Linked DNA regions of Coturnix japonica. The protein of the gene in region 2 purifies or fractionates together with the protein of the main gene of each other region. This does not show direct contact. Links are inferred from orthologs where the notes say so. Each region holds a gene or a part of one and is shown on either strand. Other genes may lie near its edges.

Region 1 (14,605 bases), on a different chromosome or scaffold from region 2:
TCCTCGGTGGCGGAAGGGAGGAGGAGGAAGAGGAGGAGGATGGGTGCCATGCTGATGGGTGCCATGCTGACGGGGCCATCTGCCCCCCACAGGAGACCTGGAGGTGCTGCAGAGCCGTCCCTTCGTGCTGAAGGAGGGGGTGGACTACAGGGTGAAGGTGTCCTTCAAGGTAAGGCCCTGCTCCGTGGGCACCTGACATCCACCTGAGGGCTCTGTGCCTCTCTGGGGGTCCCTGTCCACCTGAGGACCCACACTGCATCACTGCCACCACCAGGCCACGTGCCACCCTTGGCCCTGCTCAGTGCCCATCAGGATCCGCATGGCAGTGCGTTGTGGTGGCTGTAGGGTGGGTGTCCCTCCCAGCCCACCATGCGCAGCCGCTCACAGCCCCTTTGTGCCCCGCAGGTGAACAGGGAGATCGTCTGCGGGCTGAAGTGTCGGCACCTGACATATCGCTGTGGCCGGCCGGGTGAGTGGGGTCAGGGGTGGGATGGGGCAGAACCCCCCGCCCTGCTCACCCAAACCCCTCTCACCCTCTCACCCAGTGGACCGTGATGTCTTCATGGTGGGCAGCTACGCGCCGAGGGCTGAGGAGTACGAGGTGGTGACACCGGCCGAGGAGGTGCCGCGGGGTCGGCTGGCGCGTGGCTCCTACCGCGTGCGCTCGCTGGTCACTGACGACGACAAGACGGAGCACCTGGCCTGGGAGTGGGGGCTGTGCATACGGAAGGGCTGGGAGGACTGAGACCCCCCCAGGTCCCACCATTGCGGGGATCCCCCCCCTGCCGCCCGGGGACCCCTTGCCGCCCGCGCCGCCCCACCGATGGGAAGGTGGGGGGGTCCCTTAGCAAAGCGGGCGCCCGCGGTCGTGGTCTTGGCAACCAAAGTTATTTTTAATCGCCGTTTTTTTTTGATACCGACGCCCGACTCGTCCTCGCGGCACCTCCATCGCTGTGCACTGCAATGAGCTGAGCCCAGCCGCGGGCTCCGCTCCTCCATCGCCATTAAACCCTACAGACGTGTCTCTTATGCCGTGTCCGTGTCCCCTGGCCCTGTCCCGCTGTGGGGACGTGTGTCTGGAAATCCGCCACCTGCTCCCTGCCTTATCTCTGTGCTGGCAGCCAGTAGCGGAGGGCCACGAGCTCCCACGGCCCAGCACCTCCCGCCCCACTGCCCTTATCTGCCCCTCTCCCCTTGCGAAGGCTTTGGCAGTGGGACGGCGCCATGCGGGGCGGCGCGGTGCTGTGGGTGCTACTGCTGTCACTGGCCTGGCTGGGGCGGGTGTGGGGGGCTGAGGGTGGGGAGGAGGATGGGGAGGTGATGGCGACCGAAGAGGAGGAGGGGGATGAAGAGGATGAGGTGCTGTCGGATGAGCTGGAGGAGGAGGATGGTGTCCTGGTGCTCCATGAGCACAACTTCGCCCGTGCCCTGCGCGAGCACCGGCTGCTGCTGGTGGAGTTCTGTGAGTGCCCGTGGGGAAGGTGGGGGGCAGAGCAGGGCTGGGGGGTGTGAGATGCAACGTGAGGGCCTGAAGGACAGGGGTCGGCAGAGGGGTTCTGGGCTTGAGAGGTGGAGCAGGGAGGGAGGGCAGGGTCCTAGGGTGGGGTGCACAGCAGGGATGCGAACCTTATGGCAGAAGGATATGAGACATGGGTCATGGCGGCTCACATGTGCCATTAGGTGCCCTCAGCCTCACCTCTGGGCTGGGGACACCCCAGGGTTGGGGACACCCCCCTTGGCCGTGCTGTGCTGACCCCGGGCCCTGCACAGACGCTCCGTGGTGTGGGCACTGTCGCCGCCTGGCCCCTGAGTTCGCCCGTGCGGCCGCATTGCTGAGGAACGGATCGGAGGTGGCGCGGCTGGGCAAGGTGGACGCCGTGACGCAGACAAACCTGAGCTCTGAGTTCCACATCCAGGCCTTCCCCACGCTCAAACTGTTCCGTGACGGCAATCGCACCCACCCTGTGGCCTACAGCGGTAGGGCTGCGCGGGGGCACTGCGGGGGCATGGGGTGGGTGGGAGGGTGATGGTGAAGGGGTGATGGCATCCTGACAGCAGCAGGTGCTGGTGGTGATGTGCCCAGGGGTGGTGGTGGCACGCATTGGGGTGGTGGCTGTGATGGCCGTAGTGGCAGTGGCAACCCCGCTCCGTGCTCAGGCCGCATGGACGCCGAGGGCATGGTGCTGTGGATGCAGCGCCGGGCCGGGCCCAGCGCCACGCTGCTGCATGATGCCGACACCGCTGCCGCCTTCATCAGAGCGCAGGACATCGCGGCCGTGGGCTTCTTCAAGGTGGGCTGGGGCCGGGCAGGGCTGTGCTGTGCTGTTGGAATGGCGGTGCTGATGGTGGAACCATGCAGGACCTGCACAGTGCGGCGGCGCGGGCGTTCTATGAGGTGGCTGAGGAGGTGGTGGAGGTGGTGTTCGGAGTGGCCGAGGCGGATGAGCTGTTCAAGGCGTACGGGCTGTCGGCCGACACCGTCTGCCTCTTCAAGAAGGTGAGTGGGGTTGGGGTGGTGGGGCTGCGGCGGGGCCTGGTGCTCACTGTCCCACACCTGGCAGTTCGATGAGGAGAGGACGGATTTCCCCGTGGACCCGGAGCAGGGCCTGAATGTGGCCGAGATGACGCGGCTGCTCCGCGTGCACAGCCTGCAGTTGGTGATGGACTTCTTGAATGAGGTTCGGCTGCTGCCCTCCCCAGCCCTGGTGTGGCTGCAGGGTGCCCAGCCTCTCACCCTCCTCCTCCCTTACAGACCTCCGGACAGATCTTTGGGGCCAAGATCCCCAACCACATGCTGCTCTTCCTCAACACCTCTGTAGCCGAGCAGCAGGCACTGCGGGATGAGTTCCGTGCGGCCGCCAGCGCCTTCCGGGGTGAGGTGAGGTGATCCCATGGCAAGCAAGGATGGGACCTGGGGGACCACAGCCTCAGCACTGCCCATCTCCCCCTCCAGGTGCTCTTCGTGGTGGTGGATGTGGACGGGTACGGTGCCTCTGTTTTGCACTTCTTTGGTCTGAATCCCAGTGATGCGCCCACACTGCGCCTCATCAAGATGGAGAACAACCGCAAGTACCGCATGGAGGCAGACGCCTTCTCAGCCACGGCCATACGCGACTTTGTGCGGGCAGTGCTGGACGGGAAGGTGAAGGTGAGCAGATGGGAGCCTGGATCTGAACCTGGCCCCAAACAGGTCCCAGCAGGACATCCCTGCTGTCCCCACAGCCCCAGCTGCTGAGTGCAGAGCCCCCCGAGGACTGGAACACGCGGCCCGTTAAAGTGCTGGTGGGGAAGACCTTTGAGCAGGTGGCATTTGATGAGACCAAGAACGTCTTTGTGAAGTTCTGTAAGTGCTGAAGTCCTGTTCCTGAGCTGCATCGTGGGGCTGAGCCCCTCTCCATGACCTCTCCTGCATCCCCACCCCTCGCCTACCCCCGGTGCCCCCAGCCTGGCTGTGACCTCCAGCCCTGTGCCCGTCACACAGATGCTCCGTGGTGCACCCACTGCCAGGAGATGGCGGCTGCCTGGGAGGAGCTGGGCGAGCGCTACAAGGACCACGAGGACATTGTCATTGCTGAGATGGATGCCACAGCCAACGAGCTGGAGAACATCACCATCAGCGGATACCCAACACTGCACTACTTCCCTGCTGGGCCGGGCAGGAAGGTGGGCAGGGACAGGTGTGGGGAATCCCTGGCACTGCCAGCACCTGGGGAAGGTCAGGCTCAGATGTCACCCTGTGTCCTCCTCCTGTCCCCCGGCTCCAGATGGTTGAATATCGGAGTGCTCGAGACGTGGAGACCTTCTCCAAGTTCCTGGAGAATGGAGGGAAGCTGCCGGAGGAGCCACCCACGGTGAGAGAGGTGCCCCATCCCTGGGCAGGGGCTGCCACCCAGGGCACAGACCCTGCAGGACACGTGGGATGGAGACAGGACACGTCCATCCCTGCCTCACCATCACCTTCTGCAGGTGTCCATGGCCCCAGAGAACAGCACAGAGTCACCGAGCTCATCTGGCACAGCCGAAGCCCGGGAGGAGCTGTGAGTCCTGTCCTGCTGCAGTGGGCATTATAAATGACCCTGGAAATGATGCGGGCTCTGTCTGTGTCTGTGGGATGCAGCTGACAGCCATGTCATGGGGCACATGGCACTGAATGCTGCCTGCTTGGCCTCCTGGGGACACAGTGCAGCTGGTGGGTGCCTCGATGGGGGTTGAGCCCACTGGGGTGTGCAGGGCAGTCGGTCCCATGGTCAGCTTGGCCTCAGGCACCCATGGCACTGAGCATTCCCATGGAGGGGGTGCTGCCTTTGCCTTCCTGTGATGCTGGACCCAACACAGCCCTGGGCACGCTGTGATTCTCGTCCTTCTGTCCCTGCAGTGTCAGAGTGCTGCAGGCAGCCCAGGTTGGCCCTTGTGCTGCCCCAGGCATGGGGCTGTCAGGGTTTCGGGGATGAAGGAACCACAGAAGGCTTTCAGCTTCATGGCCCCAAGGCCTCCTGCCTCACACCTGGGCTGCAATAATGCAGAGCTGCCCCAGGGCTCCAGTCCCAGCAGCTGCTTTCACACCCTGGAAAGGCAGGAGTAGCCCCAAATTGGGCTCTAAAGAGCCCTCTGGAGCCTTTCCAATGCCTGGCTCACAGTCTCAGTCCCCAGCACCATCCCCTCCCCCCTGAGCTGCTGCTCTCCAGCCATAAGCAATGGCTCTGGGACCCCCATGCCCACCCTGTGGGCAGCCCCATTTGTGTGCCCATGGCCCTGGGTCAAAGCAGAGCCCTTCTGTCTGCTCCCATTCTCAACCCACTCCCACGTCTGCTCCGCGGGGAAGGAAGAAACCAGAAGGCACCGGGATGTGGGGCTTTATTTCATTTTATCCAAGTACCTTTGAAAAGATCATTGTACAAGTCAGCACATGAGGATGCACAGGAGACACCAGCAGGGCTGCACGGCCGCTGGAGGATGCTGCGCTCAGCAAATGTACATATTTACAGGGAACCCCCTGAGAAAAATAAGGGGGAGACGGAAATCCCAGGCATGGCAACAACCTCACCAGACACAACACCAGCAGAACTTAAAAAAGAGGGAGGAAAAGACGCTCGTAACACTGTTCCCTGGTTGAAAACGATTGCAGATTTTGCTGGACTTCACATAGTGGTAGGCAAGTCACAGAACCGTGTTTAAAGGCACGTGACGCTGTACAAGAGGCTGAGTTGTCACCCAGCTACTGCGAACCGCCTGCAGGCAGCCGGGTTGTGCCCCAGTGCTGCAACAGCAGTGAGCAATGGGGCATGTGGGCAGGCAGGGTGAGTGCTGATGTGGGACCCCCGAGGAGCTGGAGCTGCGGGCACAGGGTTTGCCCAATGGCTGGTGCAGGGCTGCGGCTGCTGGGGCACAGAGCACAGCCTGGGCTGGTGGGAAGGGCAGGGCTGAGGGCAGGTGGAGCTGAGATCAGACCCATCTGCACCCCAGTAGTTGCCCCTTACAGTGACTGCAGCATTTGGGGGACCTGGCTGTACAACAGCCCCTCAACTCCTTTGCTGCTGGCTTCAGACCCCTCACACTGCTTCCCCAGAGACAGAACCTGACAGAAGACACCGGATTCATAACACGATGGTTTCTGTCCTCAGACTGGAAGTGTCTCATTGGTTTCCTCCCTGAACTACCCCTCTCCTAAGGCAACACCCCTGAGCAAAGCCCAGCCTTGGCACTGGGGTCTGCACACAGCTGCCAGCCCTTCATTGGGGCTGCAGCAACCTCCAGGAGGGAACGTCTGCCCCAAGAGCAGGCACATGTGGGGGACAAGCACAGGGCATGGGATGCCAGTGTCCAGCCCCGCAGTGCTGAGCAGCAGCTGACCCTCACTGGTGGCCCACAGCCCTGCCCTGGTGGAAGGCACCACAGGAAGCCTGCAGCACCAAGAACTGGCACCCACCCTCCCTTTCCCTTGGGGATTCACTTGGTCACAAGAAAGCTCAGGAGGAAAACCACCCCTACCAGGTCCAATAGCTGCGACTGCCAGGGAGGCGAGAGCTCAACTCGTTCAGAGTGGCTCAATAATCTTCAGTGGGGGCCACTCTGGAGTGCAGCAGTGACTTCCACAGCAGCAGGGACAGCAGCTTGTCGGCTGGGTGCACCCCAGCCCAGCATTGCTCAGAGCCATCCACACTGAGGGGGCAGGGAAGGGGGGCTGTGAAAGCGAGGACCACACGGAGTCTGATGGATGGCTGTACACTTTGGGTGCGTTCTGCAGTACCTGCGTGTTTTTACATTTACATAAGAGCACTGTGACATTGGAAATATTTTCCTTTTATTACAATATATCAAAAATATGCAGCTTTAGTAAACAAGTTCATTTTACACTTTCTAATGCACTGTACAATGCTACATTACACTTATATTCCGTATGGAGAGGGAGCCCAGGCTCCCACTGGCAGGTTTGTGGGGGTGAAACGACTTCCCATGGCACAACAGAGCTTGCCCAGGTCCTGGCACAGAGTGGGCTGCACCGTGGGCTCGCCCAGCACCTCCTGGAGTAGCACCGCCAGCGTCTGCCCCAGACCTTCTCCTCCAGTCCCAGAGTCTTTCACAGTCCTTTCCTGCAGCCTTGGAGCCTAATCGATCTTCTCCACCTTCCCAATGATCTTCTCTTCGAAGATGGGCAGGATGGTGTCGTCCTCCCGCACCTCCTCGAAGACCACACCGCAGTCAAACTCATCACTCACTTTCTTAAAGTAATACCTGAAAGGGAAGGAACACGGGGACACAGAGGGGTTAAGGGCCACGTGGGACATCACAGTGATACCCAAACATGGGGGGCAGCTGTGGCTGTGAGCTCATGATGAATGGGAGCAGCCCCAGCAGACATGGAGGCTGGCATCCACCCCTGCCCTCTCCTAGTGAGGGTAGTCAGAATGCAAGCAGGCATGTTGAGAAGCAAACTGTGATGCAGGATATTTCTGGAGGTAGGACTCCAGATGCAAGTCTGAGTTCTACCCTTATTTAAAAAGCACATTCCTGGCTCACTTTGGGACTTACTTTTCTAAGTGAAAGGAATGTCCACTGGCAACCAGATGCTGCCACAACCCTGCAAGGCTGCTGAGAACCCCAGTAGCTCCCCTGACCTACCTCCTTTGCCTTGACAGGATCAACATCCTGGTGGTAGCAGCTGCCAGGGGGTGCTGACAGTCTGCTGGCACCACACTGCAAGTGGCAAACAGCCCTTACCTGTAGTTCCCTTTCTTGGTCAGCAGCTCCTTGAACTGTCCCAGTGTCACCACGCGCCCTTTGACGAGGGTGCGATATGGGATGGGCTCTCCACAGAAGTAATAAGCGACCACGATGTTCTCACATGGCTGGGATGCTCCGCTGCCTGGTCTCTTCTGGGGCTTCAACCTGTTGTACAAAATCACAAGCAATGTCCTGAGTATCGGCCTATGGTGCTTGGCACAGACTCAGCATCATCGGCAGCACTGGGTGCTGGTTGGGGTGAGGGGCTGCCCAGGCAGGGGATGCAGGTCCAGACCTTCATTTATCTGCAGAGAACTGGAGCCTTTCTGTATGGAGGTGCCAAAGTAACACTCAGGGCCCTCAGGAAACATCTTTTACTCTGACCACCTTTCTTGGCATACATCTGTGCACTCAGGCTGGTGAACAGCACTTAGAAAGGCTGGATGGAGGCCAGCTCATAGATAGGAGGAACAGGGCACAGGTTCCAGCTCAGCCCCTTCATGCTGCAGAAACCCATCCCAGGGACAGGCTTTGAAGTGGCTTTCCTGCAGCACTGAACTCTGAGAGCAATTGGTTTAGGCAGAGCAAGGCAGAGCATCACACACCCACTGCAGCCAACCAGTGTCACCACCGGTGTGCACCACTGTGCTTGGGCTTCAGGCTTCAAGGCTTGCTACCTGGACCTCAGTACAAGCAGTGCTTCGGTGATGGCTCCCAGGGCTCAGTCTGCAGGAGAAGCCTTCATATCATAGACAAGGAGAAGAAAGTGCCATCCATATCAGCTAGCAACTCCCTTTGTGAAGCATTTGGAGTTCTCATGTGCAGCTCTGGGATGTGCCAAACCCTGTGTGCTTTGCTGCTCACCCCATCCTGTCTTGCTCCATCATGCAAGGCCTGGCTGGGCTGCAGGCTGGATTTTGGAAGGCAGACACCATCCTCAAACCTCCAGTGAGCAGACCTGGAACCTCTCACACCTTCCTGCCTGTCGGGATGTCGGTCTGCTCCTTCCCTCCAGCCCACACACTGGCATTTGCTACTTGGTGCCATCACCAGATTGAAAGTGTCCAGTCCTCGCCTCATTTTCAGAGTCAGACAAAAGTAGCAACAATCAAAATAAGGGCACTTTGCACTTGTGTGGAGCCTTTCATCTGGGGCGCTGTAAATGCTGCACAAACATTTGAGCAGCCTACACAAATGCGTTGCTTGGCATGTGTGGTCTCAGCCAGAGGCAGCCTTCTCTTTCAGAATCACATAAAACAGATTTGGCAGCTTTAAAATCATTTAAAAGGCACACGGGGTAAAAGGGAAAAAAAAGGAGAAAAAAAAAAGGATGATTTTGTATTTATAGGACTGGAAAGTTGCTATAAGAGCAGAATACGCCAAGCACATGAGCTAATGGCAGTGTTGGAAATGGCTGTGACCTCAACCTTTAAATACAGTCACAGCACCTTTGTAATGGCACGTCCACAATAACATTGGCACTGCAAACCAAGACCAGGGAGAACTCTGTCACCTCTTTCTAAAGCCATGAGAGGTCTAAAGTTCAGCTCATAATGCTCCTGGTGCCTGCTCTGCTCTGGAGACCATTGGAGAAACTGCAGCATCCCAAGAGGTGATGGAGCTCCTTGTGCCAGCACAGCTCTTAGAAGCCATCCCTGTATCAAAGCACAGGATGCCCTTTAGGCAGAAAAACATTAAGGAATTGAATCATCCTCTGGAAAAAATAAAAAATAAAATCATGTGTTTAAAGGAAAAACGGGTCATAAATTCAGGCAAATTCTGTGTATCCTGTGAGCCAGGAGTTAATTGAAGGGGTTTGGAAAACCTCAGAGTCCCTCAGCTTCTCTTAATGCTGCTGGAAACGAGTCATGACTATGAGAGAGCTGCTGGTGCCCAGGGGAGCTGGCACGGAGGCTGGTGGGGATGCAATGACACACGCTGTGCATGCAGCATGGTGCTTAGGCTGCTGGAGGGCAGCTCCTTGGTCACTGGGGGGGCAGGCAGGACTGTCACAACCAACACCTCGAGCTCCCCAGCTCTGCCATGATAAAGCCAGAGCAGGATTGTGCCAATGGCTGGGAGCCTTCCTCCTCCCACTGTGTAATTTGTGCCTGAAAAGCTGCTTTGCAGCCACCTCAGACTGGCTGCTGTGCTCCTCTTCCCCAGGCTCAGAAAGGGGCTGTGGGGACCGTGTGGCTTCTGGAAAGCATGTGAGGGAGAAAGAGCCGCCTGGTTCTTTCTGACAGGACCCCAGGAGGCCACCAGTGATGGGACAAGAGCCAAAGGTTTGGTGCCTCCTTGCAGGAAGGAACATCACCCTTTAAAGCATCACAGAATACACACACGTCCCCAGATCTCTAGCAAACTGAAGCAGGGATGATGAATAAGGAATCATTGACAACACAGTTTTCCAGACATTCCTCCCCTGAGAACATGACAACACAACCATCTCTGCTGCCATCATCGCACAGAAACCTCCCGAGGCCACTTCTAACCCAGATGGGCCCCTGCTGAGTGTGCTGCTCCATCACAGCACGCCTGAACCCTGCCTCATTGGAGCCTCCATCTGCACCCATCCCCTGGGTCTGCAGTGTACCCTCTCCATGAACACACACAATTAACTCTCTGTTCCTTCTTCTGGCCTCAGCTCCCTTTGCAAAGTTTGTCACAAGCAGGAAATGTTACCCAGCAAGATAAATGCAGTGCTGACTGCCTTACTGCACCTTACCCTGCCCAAGGAGCCTTGAGCTGGGGAGGCAGCCAGATCATGGCAGGGGTGGGACTGGGGGGGGGGCTGTAAGGTCTCTTCCAACCCAACCATGCTGTGATTCTATGGTTCTATGACCAGCACTAACTCAGCCTGTGTCAGAGCACAGACACAGCCCAGCTGTGATGCTGCCATGCCCAGCACAGGGGAGGTTTGCTCCATCCCAGCCCTGGGGCCAAAGAGCTGTGGAAAGCCTGAAATACAGCCAGCAGATGTTACCTCAGGAGGTGTCCCAGCATCCAGCTCTGCTCCTCTTCCAGGCCTGGCCCAATCAAACTAATTCCAAACCAAGCTCACGCTAACATTTTTGCTGGAGAGACTAGAAAATTCTTTTGCTGCTTACGAAAATCTCTTCTCTGCAGAGCTGCTACTAATTACTTCTTCCAGCTGGAAACGTATGTGCACTGTGACAGTGAGCTACAGAAAATGGCTCAAAAACTGACTGCACAGGCAAGCAACCACCGGGACAAGGCTCTCCACCAACACAATGGGCACAAGAGGTCAGGTCAGCCAGCACTGGACACTTCAGCTTGCATAGGCTCCCAAAGATCAATGGCCCAGCCTCAAACACTGTGAGGAGGCAGCACAAGTGTGAAAGCAGAACGGCCCAGCGTGGCTCAGCCTGTTCTCCTGCTGGTCTGAAGGGCACATACCACAACGCCATGGGGTTTCTACAAAAGCTGCCAAGTTGTTATTAGAGTATTCAAGACACATGCATAAAGCCCAGGCTGGTGTTTCCCAAGTGTGCATCTGCACCTAGACGTTTCTTGGGAAGGTGTATGAATTTAATATGACTATAAATGACTCCACAAATAAACCTTATCCAATTACACCAAGTGAAAGTTAGATCAAATAAGCCTGGCCCAAGCCGACGTGGGAGAGCCCTCTAATTATTTAGCTTCCAATCAATGCTCTGATATAAATATGCAGAAGTCTGCTACATGACCACTGCAAGCACAAATAATTGCAGCTCAGCAATTAGAGGAGCTTGTTCTTTAAATTACACTCATGTTTCTGAATGTCAGACTCCAAAGTTTAGAGTTTTCAGAACACAGCTATAAAGCAATGAAGTGACTACAAGCAATTCCCATTGTGAAAGGTTTTTAATGGTCAAAGTGCTTTTAGTTCTTAACAGTAATTATCAAGCACTTCCAAAATGTTTTTCATCTGAGAGCTCTGTGTGCCTTGCAACTAATCCTCCCTGAAAGATAATACGGGAGCAGAAGAATTAGCTCTGCAACAGGCATTGAGCTGAGTCACAGGAAGCTGCAGTGACTTGGATACAGGCATGCAGAGAACAATACTGCTGCAGCAGTGTGCAGCGCTCCCCCTGAGCTGCCACAAGCTTCCTTTGCTGGAAGATTGAATGAGATGTAGATAAAGAGCACATACATATTCTTCTGCACTTAATTTTGCTGCATTCTGCTGAATTTTGCCACTGCACCAACCAAGAACTCTGCAACCAGTGTGTGAACGAACCACGAGTGTGCTGGTGAAGATGAGGTGAGTACAGCAAACCGGACGCTGACTAGTTCTACAAAGAGCGCTCTTCCCTCTCATGCTATTTCTAAACAGGCTCCACCTGCCCAGGCTCATTCAGAACATTTCCAGACTTCCAATCCACAAAACTCAAGCCCAGGCCTTAAGGCAGCTTGTGGCATTTGCCTGTCAGAAGCCATGTCAGAGAGAATGAGGAGGCTTCCCTGACCTCTCTGCAGGTGCCTCCACTCAGTTAGTGCTGGAAACTGGAGCACAGCACCTCCCATGGCTCCCCAGTCACAGAGCAGCCTCCCCCCTTTTCTCCCATGCATACTCAGACCCCATGGCCATACCTTTGTTTCAGTGGGAGTTTTCCAGCTCTCTTTTCCTCCTCCTCCAACCTCCTGCGAGCTTCTTCCAACTGGGTGAGTGGGTTGGGTGCTGGGTTGGGTGGCATGGTAGGATCTTGGATGAAAGGATGTGAAGGCTGGACGACGTTCCGGAGCTGGGCACTGACCCACGGATGCACTGCAACAGGCCGCTCAATGGAGAGGGGTCGGACCATGTCGTGGGACAGCTGCTTCTTAGCACCTGAAGAGCTACACACAAATACAAAGGTTTTACACAGGCTGCTGAGTCACTCTGCACACGTGCACGTCCAGATGATACCATGAAATGCACAATAGAAACAAACCCAGCAGAAGGCAGCTCAATGATGGATCAAATTTGTTCAGCAGGATCCGCCAGAAGACGCCCTGATGTGCACTGCCAGGCTGTGAGCCACTGATGGGCAGTGGATGTTGCAGCACTGTGCTCATCCTTGCCAGCCCCTGCGGCACTGCCCATGGCTCTGGCACGGCCCCAGCTGCCTGCAGAGCAACTTATCTCAGCTACTATTGTGAAACAAGGCAAAAAACTGTCCAGAGGATGCTCTCAACAAGCCCAAACGCTGGGCAACCCAGTTCTCCTTACCTGAGCCCTCTTAAACTGCTAACTCTGGACCAATGGCTTCAGTGCAGCAGGACCTACATTTCTATCAACACTTTGCACAACTGACAGCTGTTTATGTACAGAAAGTGCCTAAAGCAAAAATACTGCCTACTGTGTGCCTCATTATCCATTCTGTACCCACAGCAGCAATTTGTGAGATTCCTCTGAGGCTTCAACCTCCTCCCACCACCACAATTCATTCTTCAGGAAAGTAAATGAATTTTATGCTTAAAGCTCCCAAGCAATCCTCAGTCTCCAAAGGACCTTAACCCTTGTGCCTGGTGGATGCTTGTCTTCCCAAGACCTCCAGGAACAAGGCAGACCACTGCACAGCCTATATGTGCCTTACGCAGGGGATACAATAGGACAGCATGAAGACTCCTCACTCTACCAGCCCTTACCCATGGTTTGTTTTCTTATGCCTGCTGATCTCCTTCTCTCCTTCTATGATCCACTGAAGGATCTTCTGGTTTCTCTCCACGTCTTCAGGAGATCCTGGCATCTCATAGTTGGCACCATCACTTTTCCCTGAATCGGTCTTCTTAATATTTCTTTTTGAGAGCAGACTTGCTTTCCCACTGCAAGAACAAAGCTTGAGACATTAGCGCTTTGCCTAAGCCAAACCTCCACAGACAGTGGCAGAGGATGGACACGTCTCTCTTGGACACATTCAGCCCTGCCAGGGTCTGCTTGGTTCTACTACAGCTCAACCAACTGTGCCATGGCTAAGGCTCAGGGCAAGGTTGGTTAGCCTGAGGCACATCAGGCTCCCTGTCCCACATGCAAAACAGGGAATGCATCTGGCAAACAAGCCACGGCAATGCAGCAAAAAAGCCCAGCAGATCTCCTGCCACATAAAGGATTGTGTTCAACCCTCAGTTCTCTGCTCCAACATGATTAACAGGCTCAGAGCACGAGGATCAGCCTGGTGCTGCAATCCATTGGCTGCCTCTCCGTGTCAGATCACTGCTCTTACTCAGAGCCCTTCCTGTGCCATCCTCACACTTGCTTACAGGTTCACTAGCACCCCAAACCCCCTCCTGCCGTTCTGCCATGCCAAGCACTTGTTTCTCACCACCACTTGAACTGAGGCTTCATGTTGTACTTAAACATTTATAATGCCTTCTGCAGGCTGTCACCAACCTGGGTAATACAGTCCCATCAGACTACAGCTAGATTGAAACCAGGCAGTTATGGAAAGGCCCTGGCTATGTTTATGGCTATAGCACATCACTACAATTATCCCATCCCTCCTTGGCAACGTGCTGCCCATTTGCCCAGCAGTGCAGCCAGGCACCTACATGCTCATGGGGCTGCACAGTGCTGGCCTGTCATTGCCATAGCCAGCAGTTTTACCGGCCACCCCCGCATCCTGATCACCCACCTGCTTTACTTCTGTATGCTCATTAGCACTGACAGAAAAAAGAACAAGACTGTTCAGATGTGAACTCTTCTCTTACGAGGCTCCTACCCTGGGGAGAATCAGGAACTGGGAGTTTGTGCTAAAGAAAGGACAGCTCTGAATGCACCCTCTGACATTTCCTTTAAGCATGTGTTGCAGACAGTGCTAGAGAGGAGCTCTGTACTTAGATGGGGCTCTGGGTTGATCCAGCATGGCATGCTCTGTAGAACCAACCCAGCCATATCTTAGCCCTTTTCCTATGGAAGCTGGGCAGACGTGGGGGCCCTTCTTCCCCACCTGGAAAGCAGTTTGCTTCAGCTGCCCCTGCGCTCTGCCTCCCTTCTCCCACCCCATAAAGTTGCTCCTACACATTGATCTGGCTGCCTGTCTTCACTAAATATCCTACCCCCAGTACACTGCTCCCAGACAACACACCTCAAGGAGCTAATGAGCTCTGCACTGCAGTTTCTCCACACTTACAATCAGCATTCATTATTCAAGGTAGCCCTGAGCCTCACCTTTGCAGTAATGCAAACACAGGACTAGCAAAACCTGCTGCTGCAGAGAATGAGCTTCACCCTCTCCATTCAGCACACAGATAGAAGATGGAGGAATTGGGTGGTCATTGCAAAACTGAACATGAGCAGTGTGCACTGCAGCCCAGAAAGCCAGCTGAATCCTGAACTGCATCTAAAGAAGCCCCTGTCAGGGAGAATGTCCCCTTGGGATAGCAGGCCACAGCAGCA
Region 2 (15,435 bases):
CTACGCAGATGGTGTTGCCTAGCAAAGACGTTGCTTGCAGGCAAAAGTTTTGCTGTGTTAGATTTTTTAGGGTTAAGGAAAATCAGCAATAGCAGCAAAAACGTTGTCATCACGTAATTGTCTCCATGGTAGACCTTTAGAATAAATATCTCACTCTGAAAAAAGGTACACCCATTACACCCACCAGCAGTGTGGTCTTCTCCAAACTTAAAAGGACTTACTGTAGGACTGAAGAGCCAGCTGCTATATCTGCACATGTGTTCTTCCTACCCTCTCATATTAGAATGCCCGTATGCCCAAGTCAACACACCAGCCTAAAATCCCACCAGCAGACACCCTCCTTGGTGACTAGTTTTATTCTGGCTGCTTGTGCCACAATGAAATGGCACTTTTAGCAGGGCTGAAGCAAAAGGGGAAACAATCTGCTTTCTGTATAACTGATCTACCCCCAAACATAGGTTTCATACACTGTGATGCTGAGATTTTTCTAAATCCATCTCCAGATTCTCCTTTTAATTTCCTTGGCAGCTCCTGATATTGCTGACACCTAGAGACACACAGCTTTACAGATGGGCCGTTTGTGGCTAGAACTGTTACCTTGCGAAAGTATATGTCTTTGAGACAGAAGTCACACTTTCATTAGCAGAACAGTTCTGACATAATGACAGGCTTTGATCTCAGAAGGATATTATTTGCAAATTAGTTGGCTTGCCCTCTCCAGCCCATTGACTTATCCGCCACGATTGCAGGGAGCCTCTCATAGACACCAGGAGCCTTTTCTTATCATTTTTGGTCCACCTTCTCCCTCATCTTTGCTCCACAGTCAGTTCTCCCCTATCCCTATTACAAACAAACTAATGGAACTGCTTACTCTCAGAAACCTTCAATCTGTGAGATCACAGACACACCGAGGCCTTAGAAAGAACAGATATTCAGTGCTGAGAACTCACCTTTACCTTGTCAAAGCTCACCAGACACACTGAGTTTCACTCGTGTGAATGTAACAGGAAGATGGGTAAGGACTATTTTGACTTCACAGTTAGGAAAAGACAAAGGTTGTTTTGACTTCACGCACCTGAGATTATCTGTACTGACTGCAGGAATGTAAGACCAAACTAGACTCAGCAAAGCTAGTTCTCGAGTATGCCCACCTGAAAAAAACAGAGTCTTTAGTCACAAATTTGGTTTTGTCTCCTAAGGAGATGATTTAAAACATATAATACATTGAAAAGGAAGAAAAAAAAATACTGACCTGACCCGGTATAGCAAAACCACAGCAGTTATCAAAACAAATTGCAATGGATTTGACAGGGTAATGATGCTGACAAAGTTGTGGTAAGCTGGATAGCTTGCTTACAGTCATAACTCTAAAGACATGCAGCTTTCCAATTAACCTCTTCACCTCCTTGCTCTTGCTGCTATATTTTAAAGTAAAAACGAGGAGACAGCAGCACTGTTGTTAGCAAACAGGGCCTGATACCACTGTGCCACCGGCTGGTTGCCTCTGTTGCAGATGCTGAAATATCACTGCCCACAAGGACTCCTAATCAAATATTTAAAATATATTTATTATAAAAACCAAATCCACAGAATCTATTGTACAAAGGCACACTCTTATCTTTACAAATCTTTATACAAAATAGCAGTTATTTCCAACAACTGCACTTTTGTTAACACCAAGAATCGTGGTTTCGTGACCAGAAAACTGTTAGTGTATAATGGTCTGAAGTGATGAAAGCCTCAAAGAAACCTTATGACAGTTCCAACCAGGTTCGTTTGTATCTTAAAGGCCACCTTTGGAAAACAACTGGTAAAGACCTGAAACACGGCAAATGGCTTTCACAAAAAATACTGTAATGACAATCTGAAAATAACGTCAATGAAATCCCCAAATACTAAAGCGTCACCTGTTGGCACTTCTTTAATAACTCGTGTTTAACGCTTTCAAATTGCTGCCAAAACAAAGATGGAAATGAATGTCCACCTGGAATAATGCATTTGAGACAAACCCCAATATATTACAAACTCAAGATATGCACGCCCTAAAAACCCCTCAGCTGTCTGTTTCAGTTCCACTACTTGTGGACGCATTTGAGCTGAGGAGAACCAAACACTGTGTTTACTCAGAATCATTAGAGTGCACTCAACATAGGATTCGTGGGGCTTCTGTCATTTAAAGCTTTAATTTGTTCCCCAGTCAATGTCTGAGCTGCTTAAACACAGAAGGCACTTCAGTACTAGGTTTGGTTGTCCTTTGTAGTAACAGATCCTACAAAATGATACACATATAAAGCTGTTATTATTAGGTTGTTTGCAGAATACACGTTTTAATATAAACATAAAAAAGATTGCGTGTGTTTACCATAAAAAATCTTGGTAATCTTTGTATATTCAGGTACATTTACAAATAGCAGCAATTACAATACAATTAGATAAGTAAAAAAGCTGTCTGGGTTAGAGTTTAGTCAATGATGCCCTCCAAATCTCACATCCAACAGCAAAGTACTTTTCCACAGCTTTTGTTCTGACCTCTGCAGGCTGATTAATACCATTTATGACTGCTGCATTCGTGGGTGCAATTAAGATACTTCTGCTCTCGTTTACACATTGCAGGATCTCTGTACAAATACAAGTGGGACATGGTGGCCTTCATTGGACACAGCTTCCCTGGGAGCATCAGTCAGATTAAGGTACATCCATAGGGGCACTCGTTGAACAGACATAAATGCTGGTGAGCTGGTCCATCTCTGTAGCTATGAGACTTGATTTTCTTCTCTTTCAAGGCGTGTTCTCTGCACATATTTCATTGGTGTCAAGTGTCCTGTTTAGGAATTGTTTCCGTCATCTTCTATCCAGCAGGATTCTGTGCTGGCTCTGTATGTGGCTCCTGCCTTCTCAGGCGCTGGGGACAGCCCGGTTGTGGTGTCTTACAGCCATGGGCAGCTGGGAGTATTGCAGAGGTGGGACACAGCATCGGAGGAACTTGGTTGCAGGATGAAGAAGCCATTTGTATAAGCTTGGTTTCCATCATTCTTATCAGTAGGTTTAACACTGATTTAAATCTGTTTCTCCTCCCCCTGCCCAGGAGCATGATCTAACATGAGCAGATCCACAGCATAGTTGGCCAACAGCAAAATACACAAAGTAGAGCAGAATACCCTTTACAAAACCCCTTCAGTACATGTTCTTGGGAATGGGAATGAAAATACCTATGTATATTAATGATACTTTTAACACGTGGGAAACACCTTAAAGCTGCTCAGTTGAACTCCCGATAGTCAAAGAAAGGGTATTTTCTATTTAATGACAAAAGCGTTGCAGTATGTAAAGGAACACTAACAGAACAGCAGGCACTTTGAAACTTGTGGAGAGGACTGCACTCATCATTTATAGTGCACTCATTATTAAACAGAAACAACTGAATAACCGTTCTGTAAATGTCTGTCATGTTGGATTATGGCTTGTCCGAGGCTCAGCCCAAACATGGAAGTTTGCAAAACGTCCCTCAGCACCGTAGCAACAAATACATTATTTCTAATTCAGGGCTCCGTGCCAGGCACTCCTGCGTGTTATTAATTACTGGGAACATGCCTGCCTTCTGTTTTCATTTCCTGACATTAATGGGTATCACTTGTTGTACAATTATAAGCACAGCTACTCATTTGGACTGACTCAACACATACTCCAACAAAATGACTGACATCAGAAAAGATCTGCTTCTGATAATGCACAGAGCACACGGGGCACACAACGTTGTCAAGTCTGACCGAGCACACTCGTAATGTACTACAATGCACTCCACAGGCTCTGATGCAGAACAGCCCCAGAGCTCTCTGTAGCAAAAGGATTTGACCCTACAGGCAGAGGGTGAACGCCCAGGTCACTGGTAGCTCAGCACAGCATGGCCAGCCCTTAGCGACTGCTGCCATGCACAGACACTTCAGAGTTTCAAATTCACACCAACTCTGTGCTTGAAATCAAAGGATACCTTGCCAATGATGATCATGATTTTTAAGTCTGCCCATTTACCTTACAGCTTCACATTGCTACTGCATTTGTTGCACAGACAGAATAAATTCAACAGAGAGAAGATGACCCTCATAGCTGCCTTTGTGACTGCACCAGAAGGCAAAGAAACAGCTCTCTGCTCTGAAATCTGCCCTTAGATGTAACACAGAATCACCCAGTTCATTTGCCCATTACTAGCTGCTATACAGACACAGCTCCATTCTCCACCCCAAGCTGCTTTAAAGTGCTAATATACAGTCGTAATGGGCTCTGAAAATACTTCAGTAAACTGATTCAAGTACTCAGATGCTCACATGGAAAGTCCAACCACTTGCAGCCCCCTGCAGGTTCTTGGTGCAGAACTCCTAGGACACACCAGGATACCTCAAGCCTTTCTCATAGCACCCTTCTGCACTAACAGAACCACACCTGAACCTCAGCAAAACATAACTTTTCCCTTCTTATTTCCCGCTCAGCCCTGCACTGCTACAACTTGCCACACACCTTCAATAATTCCACCCAGCACTTTCCCTCATCCTGATCTAGAAGCAGCAAGCATCTGTTTTAAAAGTTTTAGCCTGAAGGTTCACAGGATGGAAAACATACTTCACTAAAAACACACCAGGGGATATTTCTGGAGAAAAGCAGCTCTTCTCTCTCAAATATACGGTCTTTTTTGACAGCAGGAGTGCACAGATCTTTTAGATTAGACAGCCTACGGCAACAAAAAGCAATATTTTATTCTTTAAATCCTTAGATGCTACATATTTGCTTACAAGTTCTCTTCAGGAGAGGCTTTTCAAGTCAGTTCCATGGAGCAGCGTGGAACCTGCATTCTGATCACAAAACCTGAAGCGCCTCAGATGAAGTGATTGCTCAGCAAACATCAGCAGCAAGAGGTTCCGAACATCCAATTGAAATACAATTAGCACACATGCTTAATCCATTCCATTCAGCAAGTGCTCGCTTCCTTCTGAGTACTTAGGGGTCAAGTTCCATTGGTCCTTAAGTCAGCCTGACTCTCAGCTAATTTTCTTGCACTCAACTCCAAACTTTATAAGAGGAGAATAAGACAAAGTGGTTGGGATTGCTACAGTGGCAGCTCTTTGAAACCATCAGTGGTTTAAGGAAAGGGGGAAAAAAAAGTAATCTTGCATTCAGTGTCATCACAGGAACACAGGAATATTAGTATGGTATGGCTCTGTACTAGAACTGTAACATGAAACAATGAATACATTCATTACAAACGACCAACAGTTACGCATAAAACAATGTATGGTGTTAACTGCAAACTTTGGCAAGGGATGGGGGAAGAGAATCCATTCTTAAACTCCAGTGCTGGATTCTCCAGTTCTCTATTTTTCTCCACAGGAAATGGTGGGCATCATATTTGTGCCAAACGCGAAACTCAGAAGCAAAAATTTAGCCATGAAGGTACTGAAATCTACTTGAACAGTTCCAGTAATGCAACAATGACAGCACCAATATTGTCCTTTAACAACACAGGAAGAACAGACCTGCACTAACAAATCTGTCAACACAGACTGGATTGGAACTCCATGGTCCTAGCCCCACCACTGCAACAACCTTTGCCCTTGGAGTCCTAGGCGTCTTTTGTTCAAAAAACACCGACCCAAACATAATTTAAAGTTCAAAAAGGAAAAACCTCTTGTTGTTGCCAACAATATTAAGGCTGTCAAAGAGTCACCACGTGTTAATTCAGCAGCTGCAGAAACAGGTGCAGCTCTGCATATTCAGATTTTCCCTCAGATATCCCAGGTAGGCACACACATCATCACTGACAGAGGTGAAAACTGCCATTCAATACCCAAATCCCTTTGTTACAACAGGAGATGAATCAAAGCAAAAATCTATCTTCTGTGCTGTGAAAGGCTCTTATCCCAGCCTCCCTTTCACAAAAGGGTTTGGCCTGAGCTAGAAGCAGGAGCACTTCACTGATTATGGTGTCCCAAGGATACAGTAGTTTGTTGCAGCTTCTTTCTTTTAATACAATCGGATGTATTTGCCTTCTCTCCTTCCGCCCCATGCTTTTAACGTACTTAAATCTAGACTAACTTGGTGGCAAATTTTGATGACATGACTAAACTGCATGAATGGCAGATGTTTTGGTTTTGAGCTCAACATGTCCTACAAACAAACAAACAACTTTCATCACTTCAAACACAAGCCACTGTATTGTCCCGCTTTGGGAAATGAACACTGGAGGTGAAGCAATTCACTGTTGAATTCAACATGGGTAAACATCTCAAAGACCCAGAACAGAGGAATTACCAAACTTCGGGGTGAAAGGTGAGGCACCACTGTATTTTGAGAAGTCACCAAAGCCTCACAAGGAAGTAGATGCTAGACAAGGAGGAAAGAACCCGGTTTCATTCAAATTAAAATGGTGAACCTGAGCAAAGCTGCAGTTTGTCAGGCATTTCTCTTGTTAAGAGCCCCTTGCTCTCACTGGCAGGCCATTACAACTTCTACTATCATGCACTCAAAGTGGGAACTGACTGTAGTTCAACCAAGCATTTGAAATCTGGGTATGTTTCTAGCTCCTATCAGTTCCAGAACCAGTACACAGTACGGTACTTGTGTGAGTCAGGACACCATGCCTGTGTGAACAGCCGATTTGAAAGACTTGGTTAAAATAGGTGTTTTTCCAGTTCAGTGCTGAGCAAATGTAGACCGGGATTCAAAATCCAGGTCTCAAGACACAGGTTCTGCTGGGAAGCACTCAGCTCACTGGCAAACAGGAGCTTATGACAGTGGTACACTTTGCATGTTTTCTCCCAGTGATGTACAAGGGATGAGAGACTGACAAACTATTTAAGCACGTTTTTCTTCTCTGTGAATATTGGTCTTTAGCCTCCTCCTTCCACAAGCCATTTCACTTTCTTTTCTCACATTTGTAAAAAGAATTGCATACACTTTGCGTGTAAAAAGGTGGTTTGAAATGCAAAAAGGCTCAACATTGCCTCCCCAAATCCTTTGGGGAATAAGTCAGTTCCGTGATTTCAAAAAGGCAAATATGGCACAAAAGAAGGGAATTTAAGTTAAAAAAATCAATTTTATAAATATTCTTCCTTTGTACAATTTTCACAGCCCCATCCCTCCCACCCGTTTTTATTCACATTTCTTTTTCTTTTTCTTTTTTTTTTTTCCTTTTTAATTCCCACCCCTTTTTATCTTTTAAATCATAAAATATATATTTAAAATCTGTTCATATTTAAAAATATTTACAGGGAAAGTTCCTTCTGTTGAGGTCATGAGGAGTCTGTACAAGGAGAGGGTGGAGGTGGGTATAGGTGAAAATAGCTTCGTTCTGTGGCAGGAGATGGAGGGCAACTTTCTTCTGCCGACATGTACTGGCTGCGAGGTGTGGGTGGAGGGGGGTAAGGGTCTGAGTCTGAGTTTAAATCTATATAGTACTTGTTGGCTTTCCATCGACTAGTGGTATAGTCACTGTCACAAACATCTGTGCTGCACGGGGTTGTGGGTGGAGCTGTCCCTCGTATAAGGTAAGGCCTGCGAGGTAACAAAATAAAAAGCACACGCATTAGTTGTGATTTTTGAAAAAGGGAAACAAAGACATTGAAAACGAATGCCTACGTCCACAGTCAAGATGTCAGATGTTGCTTCATTCTATATCAGCTGTAGCTCAGGTTTTCATGGGAGCCAAATGAGAAGTATTTGAACTGTGTTACAACTGAATGGCACAGCAACCTGGAGCTCGCAGTGCATTTTGCCAGCTTCTGACCTGGTGGTACATCCATAGGTTTGGGCAGCAGAGAAGACCAACGTGACCACTTAGTTTGGTCCCAAGAACTAACAAATAAGTTAAACCCATCAGAGCAGACCAGACCAAACCCTCCTCACAGGATGCCAAGTGGCCACTACAAAGCAATATAAATATAAATGCGCAGATACACCCTGTTGCATCAAAATAAGAAACAAAGCTAACACTTATGGGTCACAAATAGCATAATCTCAATTTGAATGGTCATTTATTAAGAGAGGCAAAGTTTGATGGGTTTTTTTTCCCCTTTTTTTTCTTTTTTTTAAATCAAGGGAAAGGTCTAAACGAGAACGTTCTGTTTAAGATGCAAAAGTAAAGGACAGACCAATGGAATGTGTATCAAACCTTTTTATCTGAGCTGTACCTGTAAGATCTTGTGGTTGAAGGAATGTTTGAAGAATAAAACATCTCTGCATTATACAGGGAGCGATCGGTAGCTGGGGACGGAGGCGGGTTCAAGATCTAGGAAGATTAAAATCAGTATTTCAGTTTGAGTTAATTGCACAACTCTGCTTATTTTGAAAATATAATTTACTCCTTCAGTGAGTCACTTGACATTATCTGCTATTCCTCTCATTGCTGCTTGGGCGGATTGATGCTTATTTTTTTATTTTTTTTTAAGATCATATGAGTTAATTAAGAGACCTTATTTTGGGTTTGGATTTATTAAAACAAATACAGGGCAGCAGGTGCAAAGCCAAGACATTTAGATTGCTCAGACTGCTTCTTTTTGTAGTTAACGTAAAGCTGGGTAAACACAAAGCTACCAGGAAGAACTGACAGTTGGGTCAGCAGTAACTTTAAGATAGCAAAGCCCTCACAACAACTTCTGTATTATAATCTGGCATGGCACTCTTTCTGAAGGCAGACATTTTGTCCCTGCAGGTCCTGGCTCACATAGCACTGAATTGGAAGGGTAGAAGAATTCCAAGTAAGAGTTTAGTTTAGGCTTGTACCCCCAGTGGAAGAGTTTGGCCAATAGAAATATCAAAACATAATGGTACAGGCAGATCAGCTCCTGGGCTACTTTTGTCTTTTAAGATTCATTTAACTAAGAATTTATTTTTTTTAATAAATCCACCTACACTTTTTCTCTTCATCCCTTTACTGTGGCACTGATGCAACAACTGGGTGCTAGCATGAAATTGTACATCAAGTTACACAGATTCTGGTGAAGCACGAGAGAAAATTAAATGAGGAGCTCTGCTGAATTCCAATATCTGAGTCACAGCCTTATGTTCAAGACATACCTGTGGGTAGAAAGTGGCTTTAGTGCTGGATGAGCTACTAGAAGAGGCTCCAGTAACATGGTTTCTGTCATATAAGGGGGCACCACTGCTCCCTCCCATGAGGCTCATGGAGCTCATCATAGACTTTCCACAAGAGATTCCTGCAGTGAGACAGAGAGGAATCCAAGGTTAGGTAAACCACAGTTTCATCTATTAATGCAAACCAGAAAACAAATCCAGAGCTTGGCAAATCCACGTAACTCTACTGGTTGTTGCTTTTGGAATGATCTTCTACATAAAAGCTTCAGGATTACAAAGAACAACATATTTTCAATTTTATATTATGTAAAGCAAACACCTCACCCCCAGACCACCTATTGTGACCCTGCAGCTCCTCACAAAGGAGTGCTCTCAGTCCGCTGAGAAAGGAATCTCCAGATCAGTTGATCCAAATTTTCCACCCAAATTGCTAACGAAGAAATTTTCCATCTAAACAGACTTGAGTATTTGCAAAAATAAGCACTATACACTGCCCAAGAGAAACAAGCCAGAGACATCCGAAGTTTTCATTTCCATCCAATGAAATTCAATTGCAAGTACAAGAACAAGAGCAAGGAAATATATATATACTCTTACTGGAAAAAAAACCCCACTTTTTTAAACTGAAAAAAGGAAGGATGCCTGGGTGGCAGAAAAAGGGGAAAACAACACAGTCCTATTTTTTTTTAACTTAAATCATATTCTCATTCTTCCCACCAAAATATTCAGTGCCAACGGAAGAGCTGAGCTCAGAAGCTTTCAGAAATGTTTCAGCCTTGGGAAATACTTAGGAAAAGCAGGATGATTCTCTTTGTGACCACTGTTCATGACCAATCACTTTTCTGAAGCACCGCGCTTCAACATACGTCTTCTCATTAGAATTAACATCAGTGGTCAGACTGTCACTGTCACAGCAATAACGAGCCATGAAAATCTATGGCAGCCAAATTAGAAAGAAATAACAACATTCTCCTTCAGTCTCAACTTATTATCTGCACACAGTTCTCTGGACGGATGTTTTGATTACTTGGCAAGGTAGAGAAATTCTGCTTCTTTAGAGATGAAGGCCTGAGACAGAGAGAGAACAAACACATTGTCCAAAAGCAAACAGGAAATCTGTCTCAGAGATGGACTAAACCAAAGGGGATGTTTTCATTACACCTCAGGCAACAGTCAGCTCTTAATAACCTGCAGAACCTCAAATCCAGACAATGTAATGGTGCTTATTAGGGTTCTTACCATCCTTACCAGTAAAAGTGCCATGCTGAGAACTTCCTGGCGCAATAAAATTAAGAGGGACGTGAGGCGTGCCACTGACATACTCATGTGGAAAGGGACTGTTGGGCCCGGCGTAGCGCTGACACACTACTCGCTGGCAAACGAAGTACATTCCTCCCATGACAAAAAGGGAAAGTATTATTCCAATGACGGGACCAATGGCACTGCTGTGGGGCTGAGGTTCATCTGAGGATGGCTTTGATTTTTCTGGAAAAAGGGGAGAAACAAAAGGATGTCATTAAATATGGCAATATATATCATGCTATCCTGGATATTGCATAGTACATAAGTCAGCACAGTCATTTACATCATGTCTTTGAAAGTCACTGCATCTAAACTCAGCCATCTCTTGCTACATAGATTCTGATTCTATGCATGAGACTTCTATCCCTACATGTAAATAAAGCAGTAACAGCAATGTATTCTTCTTTCTGTCTAGCAATTCACCTTGTAAGAGGATTACTTGTCATCTTGATATAACAACAGCCAGTAGGATTTTGTTTCTAAGATCTGACTGGTAGGCAAGCTACAGAATGCATGGAGCAGTGGATGTCTTCCTAGCTAAAAGCTCTTAAGAGGTGACATTTTAGGATGTAAAAGTATTCTTAGTGACTATTAAGAACCTTACAGATTGGAATAAAAACACACAACCAGAATATCTCAAATACTTTCTACTACTAATTTCTTTTTCACCCATATAGCCCAGTGTTAAATAATAAAAAGTCTTGCAGTACTTGAGATTTGATACGTATCATTCTCCCACTGACTACATTCTAAATTCTTGCCCTTCAGCTGAAGGGAATGTAAAAGAACTGAAAGCTGAGAAGGAAGACAAAGGAAATGTAAAGAAGTATCAATGAACTTTTAGCAGTTCAACATCAAGAATTCATTTCTGTCTTTCTTATTAGTGCATGACAGCTCATAGGTCAGCCAAGGACTTAACCTTTAAATAAGCACATTAACTCCGATACGATACCAGAAAGAAGGCAAACCCAGAACTAAAACAGATTCTTGAATTAGCCAGTTTAAACCACAAAACTCTCATTTTGGTTAAACCTAGCTTCTTCTACATGCAAGACCTTCATCCTGAAAGTAGCAATCATTTTTATTTCCTACTTGACTTTCCCTCAGTCAATCAAGAAACCACAGAATGCTCTGTTCCACAAAGAAACTTCAGAAGAGGCAGTCTTATGTCTACATAAAAACCCATTTAAATCAGTTAAGTCCTAATTGCAGGACTAGACCCAAAGTGCAAGCAGGAAACGTTTGCATTAACTTGGCACCACAAAACTTTTGCCAAGTGCACAAAGAAAATAATTGAAAAATAAAAGTGAAAGAAAAAGTGGCTCCACAGTATCCAAGGAACTGGGGGGAACCGAGTGAGGGCTGTGAGAAACGGGATATGTGGGAGGATCAGAAGAAGCACGTGCAATCTGAGATCTACAAAAGGAGAGCTAAACAGATCCTCTAGTTCTGATTCTTTTAGCCTTTTCTCTCTTTGCCACCCCGGCTATTTTCAGCACTCTTGCTCATGAAACCCACCTAGAAGATAGAAGGAAGAAACTAATTTGACCTAGTTAGTACAGGGCTGAGATTCATCAGGCTTCCCTATGTAAAGACTGGAGCTTTGCATTCAGCTGTAAGGTGTTAGACCTGAAAACTAAGCACTTGGTCTCAAGCAAAGACATCTCACCACACATGAGCTCATCTGAGCCATCAATGCAATCCGGAAAGGAGTCGCACTGTTGCTTCAGGAGGATGCACTGCCCACTGGCACATCGGAATTGATTGAGCAGACAAATGGCTGCACAGAAAGAAAGAGAAGATTCAGTATGACTTGCATGGCACTGTTCAACAATCTTAAGAAAACCAAAAGATGTCAGATATGCCGAGCCACAATGCACTTTAAATTATAAACAGGCAGGCACCAGAACACCTGTTTTGCTGCAGTAGCTTAAATTCAGTCAGCACTTTTCTCATTCTTGCTTTGTACCATTACACATTCTACTTATTGAGAATGATATAAAATTCTGAAACACCACATTTTTGTTCAGCTGAGGCAAAACTGAAAGCAAATCAGAAAGGACCTCCTACAGTAACTAAATGGGTGTAACTGATTGCCTGACATCTTAAAACATGAGGTATCTGAAGATATAGTCATATCTTACATAGTCTATACTACCTTATATCATTCTATCAAATACAGCTCTGTTATATTCTTATCTATAACCACAAGCCCCTGCTTCAGTAAAATGGTCTTGTTAACTGATTTCAAATTCTATGTGAATTCAAACTATATTAAATCATCAGAAAAGAGACTGTCTTATGAGGGCTAGTAATCAGCAGCCCTCGAAGGTTCACTTTGTAGAAAAAAGCAGAATCAAGTGGACAGTTCTGCCAGACTGCCAAACTAAGGCCGTTCTTGCCCATTTGAAACCAAAAATCATGAATGTGTATCAAAACAGACAGAATCCCAAATAGGTGCTTATGTCAGAGCCAAGAGAAGAACATGATTCTTACTATCACAATCCACTTCATCAGATTTATCTTGGCAGTCAATTTCTCCATTACACCTCAGATGTGCATCAATACATTGTCCTTTCTCACACTGGAACTGAGATGCAGAGCATATTGGGCAACTATCCTCGTCGCTCTGGTCATCACACTCTGGGAATCCATCACACCGCCACGCCATTGGGATACAGTCAATCTCTCCAGTTGCACAGGTAAACTGGTCTGGGGAACAAGTTGGAGGTTCTGCAGAAAGAGAAAACAAAAAACACTTGTGCGTTCAATCAATTTTAGCCCTATCAACAGAGTGCAAATGTGATGGAGAAAAAGTTGTGTATGCCCGGACTGAAGTTATTCTGTAAAAATACAAACTGTTTTTGAAGTGCTGTTGTCCTTCATTAAGGAGAAATGTTTAAGAATGAGACTCAAGTAAAATCAAGTGCTTCAAAAACAAATATGCCAAGTAAAAATCCATACGTTTAATTTTTGACATTCCTATGGTTTCCAAGTTTCTGAGTTATGATTACTGGGCGTAGCAATACTGAGGTTTACAAACCTATCCAGTGACCTGGCAGCTGTAGATAAGGGAAGGATGCCAGATGGATGCATCAATGTAATTCTGACATTAGTTTGGGCAGCAGTGTACTGTTTAGATAATTCGGCAGACAGATTTCTACTTGTGCATCTAGAGCCACGAATTTGCATTTAAAACCTTGTCAAGTGTGTTCACGAGAATATATGAACAAAATGTTCTCCAACCAAAATGGCTCTGTCAACCAACTCTGAAATACTTGCTTATGAGCTACTACTACTGCAGGCAAGACAGATTACAAAAGCTGTTGCAACCTCAGTGAAGGATGAGAATGAAAACAAATAAATAAGAAGCAGAGACTGCAAGAGGCCCCTTAATTTTAAGGCTTACAGGGGAAGACAACAGAGCAGTGGAACAGAAGAATCTCTCACTGGCCACGTTTTTCAACAGAAGTAGATTAAGAAATATGTTTTATTTTTCCAACTGCAGATGTAACCTCCACTACTCTACAACCACATAGTGTGTTGTGGTCATGGGAAAGAAAACAGTTTATAATGGAAAGGACTGTCCCACGGGAGGTCAGAGCTCAGCCAGAAAAATGAAATCCACAGCAAAATGAATACATTAAAAAAAAAAAAAAAAAGCCCAGAGGACCAAAAGAGCCAAATAATTTAACATTGGATATCTCCCAAAAAATAAGTATTTTTTCCCCCATTTTTAATGCCCTCTGCAATAGTAAGGTAACAAATATCAAAATACCTGGGGCTGTGAAAGGGAATTGTAAAGGGAATGCCTACCATGAGGAAAGACAACAGTTACTTTAATTAATAAGAACTGCAACTGAGGTTTTGAACCTCTGTCATTAACTAGACAGCATGGTGTGTTACGTTACTATGTTATTTGAAAAGCTGGAGTACTGCAGGAATCATACATACAGATTCAACTGCCAGATCATCATGGCTTATCAACACTGTTATATACATTCATTTATGGCACAAACTGTCACATCATACAATAATGAAGAACTCCACATTCTGGATTCAGATGCAAACTCCTGCAGGAAGTTCATATAATTTTGTATCACATGGAAGTCAAGCACCTTGGCAGGCAACTTTCTTGCAATAGTAACTATTTGATTTTGGCCATTCTGACTTCATTCAGTTGTTTTTGAAAATACCATCATCCAGATAGACAGTTCTCAAAACCCAGCAGCACGTCATAGACCAAATTTGATATTCCAGTGATTCTTAATTTTTTTTTCCCCATTGTAAACCACTTAGCAGTGCTGTTAAACACAACTCACCTCCGCACGTTAAGAGATTCTGCAGGAGCACAAGGTGCTCTGGGCACGAACATCTTGGAGTCCCATCCCCTTTGGCAATGCAGATATGTGAGCATCCACCATTGTCACGGGAGCATGGATGTGCAGCTGGAGAAGCACACAGAAAGAATGACTGGGTGGTGTTAAAAAAAAATTCAATTAAAAAAAAAACAATTTAACATAGTGTTGGAGATGTTACTGTTTGAAGCACGGGTTGCAAAGTGCCCTCATGTACACGCACATGTTTACTTTTACTCTCCTGTTGTAACAGATTTCAGATGTAAGAAAGTGTGTCCTTTCAGTGCAACCCCAAAGAAACATTACCCTTGCCATAATAAAATAAACTTTCTTAAAACCATGTGGGATATAAAGCCCCCTCTCTCCCTTTTTTCTTATGAACAGTGTTGAGACTTAAAGAAAAGTTGTTTTTCCATCATTATGTGCTACCTCTGAAATGCACTAAAGTAAGAGAAATGGCACACAAGAAGAAAAACTGAGTGTTGTGAAAGAAAAAAGAACACCTGGTTAAGGATTAGCAAATAGAATCAGCTACAGCTTAAATACGCTGCCTTCCTTCCAACAGTTTACCCCTGTAGGCAAGTTTGCACTTAACTGCATCCTCCCTGTATAAGACTTCTACCCCCAACCCTTCACATGCTGGAAGCATTACTCCTCTCCAGACCTCAGACCTGCATTCCCTTACTCTGCCATA

The links.
Region 1: the proteins of LRP5 (region 2) and AXIN1 purify together in Homo sapiens (affinity purification with western blotting; 3 studies listed by BioGRID). This does not show direct contact. The link is inferred for Coturnix japonica from reciprocal best matches to the Homo sapiens genes LRP5 and AXIN1.

What each region holds. Positions count from the first base shown.
Region 1 is NC_029529.1:10,799,761-10,814,365, reverse strand, and holds the end of AXIN1 (axin-1), read right to left. Parts: intron 13,036-14,605; coding exon 12,859-13,035; intron 12,067-12,858; coding exon 11,821-12,066; intron 7,387-11,820; coding exon 7,219-7,386; intron 6,733-7,218; coding exon 6,606-6,732; 3' UTR 6,280-6,605; downstream 1-6,279. Other genes in the region: ARHGDIG (rho GDP-dissociation inhibitor 3), read left to right, coding at 93-169, 406-469, 546-745; PDIA2 (protein disulfide-isomerase A2), read left to right, coding at 1,225-1,462, 1,771-1,977, 2,158-2,291, 2,360-2,497, 2,562-2,678, 2,753-2,878, 2,954-3,148, 3,223-3,343 and 3 more. UniProt on the Homo sapiens protein: Component of the beta-catenin destruction complex required for regulating CTNNB1 levels through phosphorylation and ubiquitination, and modulating Wnt-signaling.
Region 2 is NC_029520.1:8,240,407-8,255,841, forward strand, and holds the end of LRP5 (low-density lipoprotein receptor-related protein 5), read right to left. Parts: intron 14,832-15,435; coding exon 14,706-14,831; intron 13,117-14,705; coding exon 12,880-13,116; intron 12,164-12,879; coding exon 12,053-12,163; intron 10,567-12,052; coding exon 10,321-10,566; intron 9,204-10,320; coding exon 9,064-9,203; intron 8,276-9,063; coding exon 8,178-8,275; intron 7,543-8,177; coding exon 7,281-7,542; 3' UTR 2,303-7,280; downstream 1-2,302. UniProt on the Homo sapiens protein: Acts as a coreceptor with members of the frizzled family of seven-transmembrane spanning receptors to transduce signal by Wnt proteins.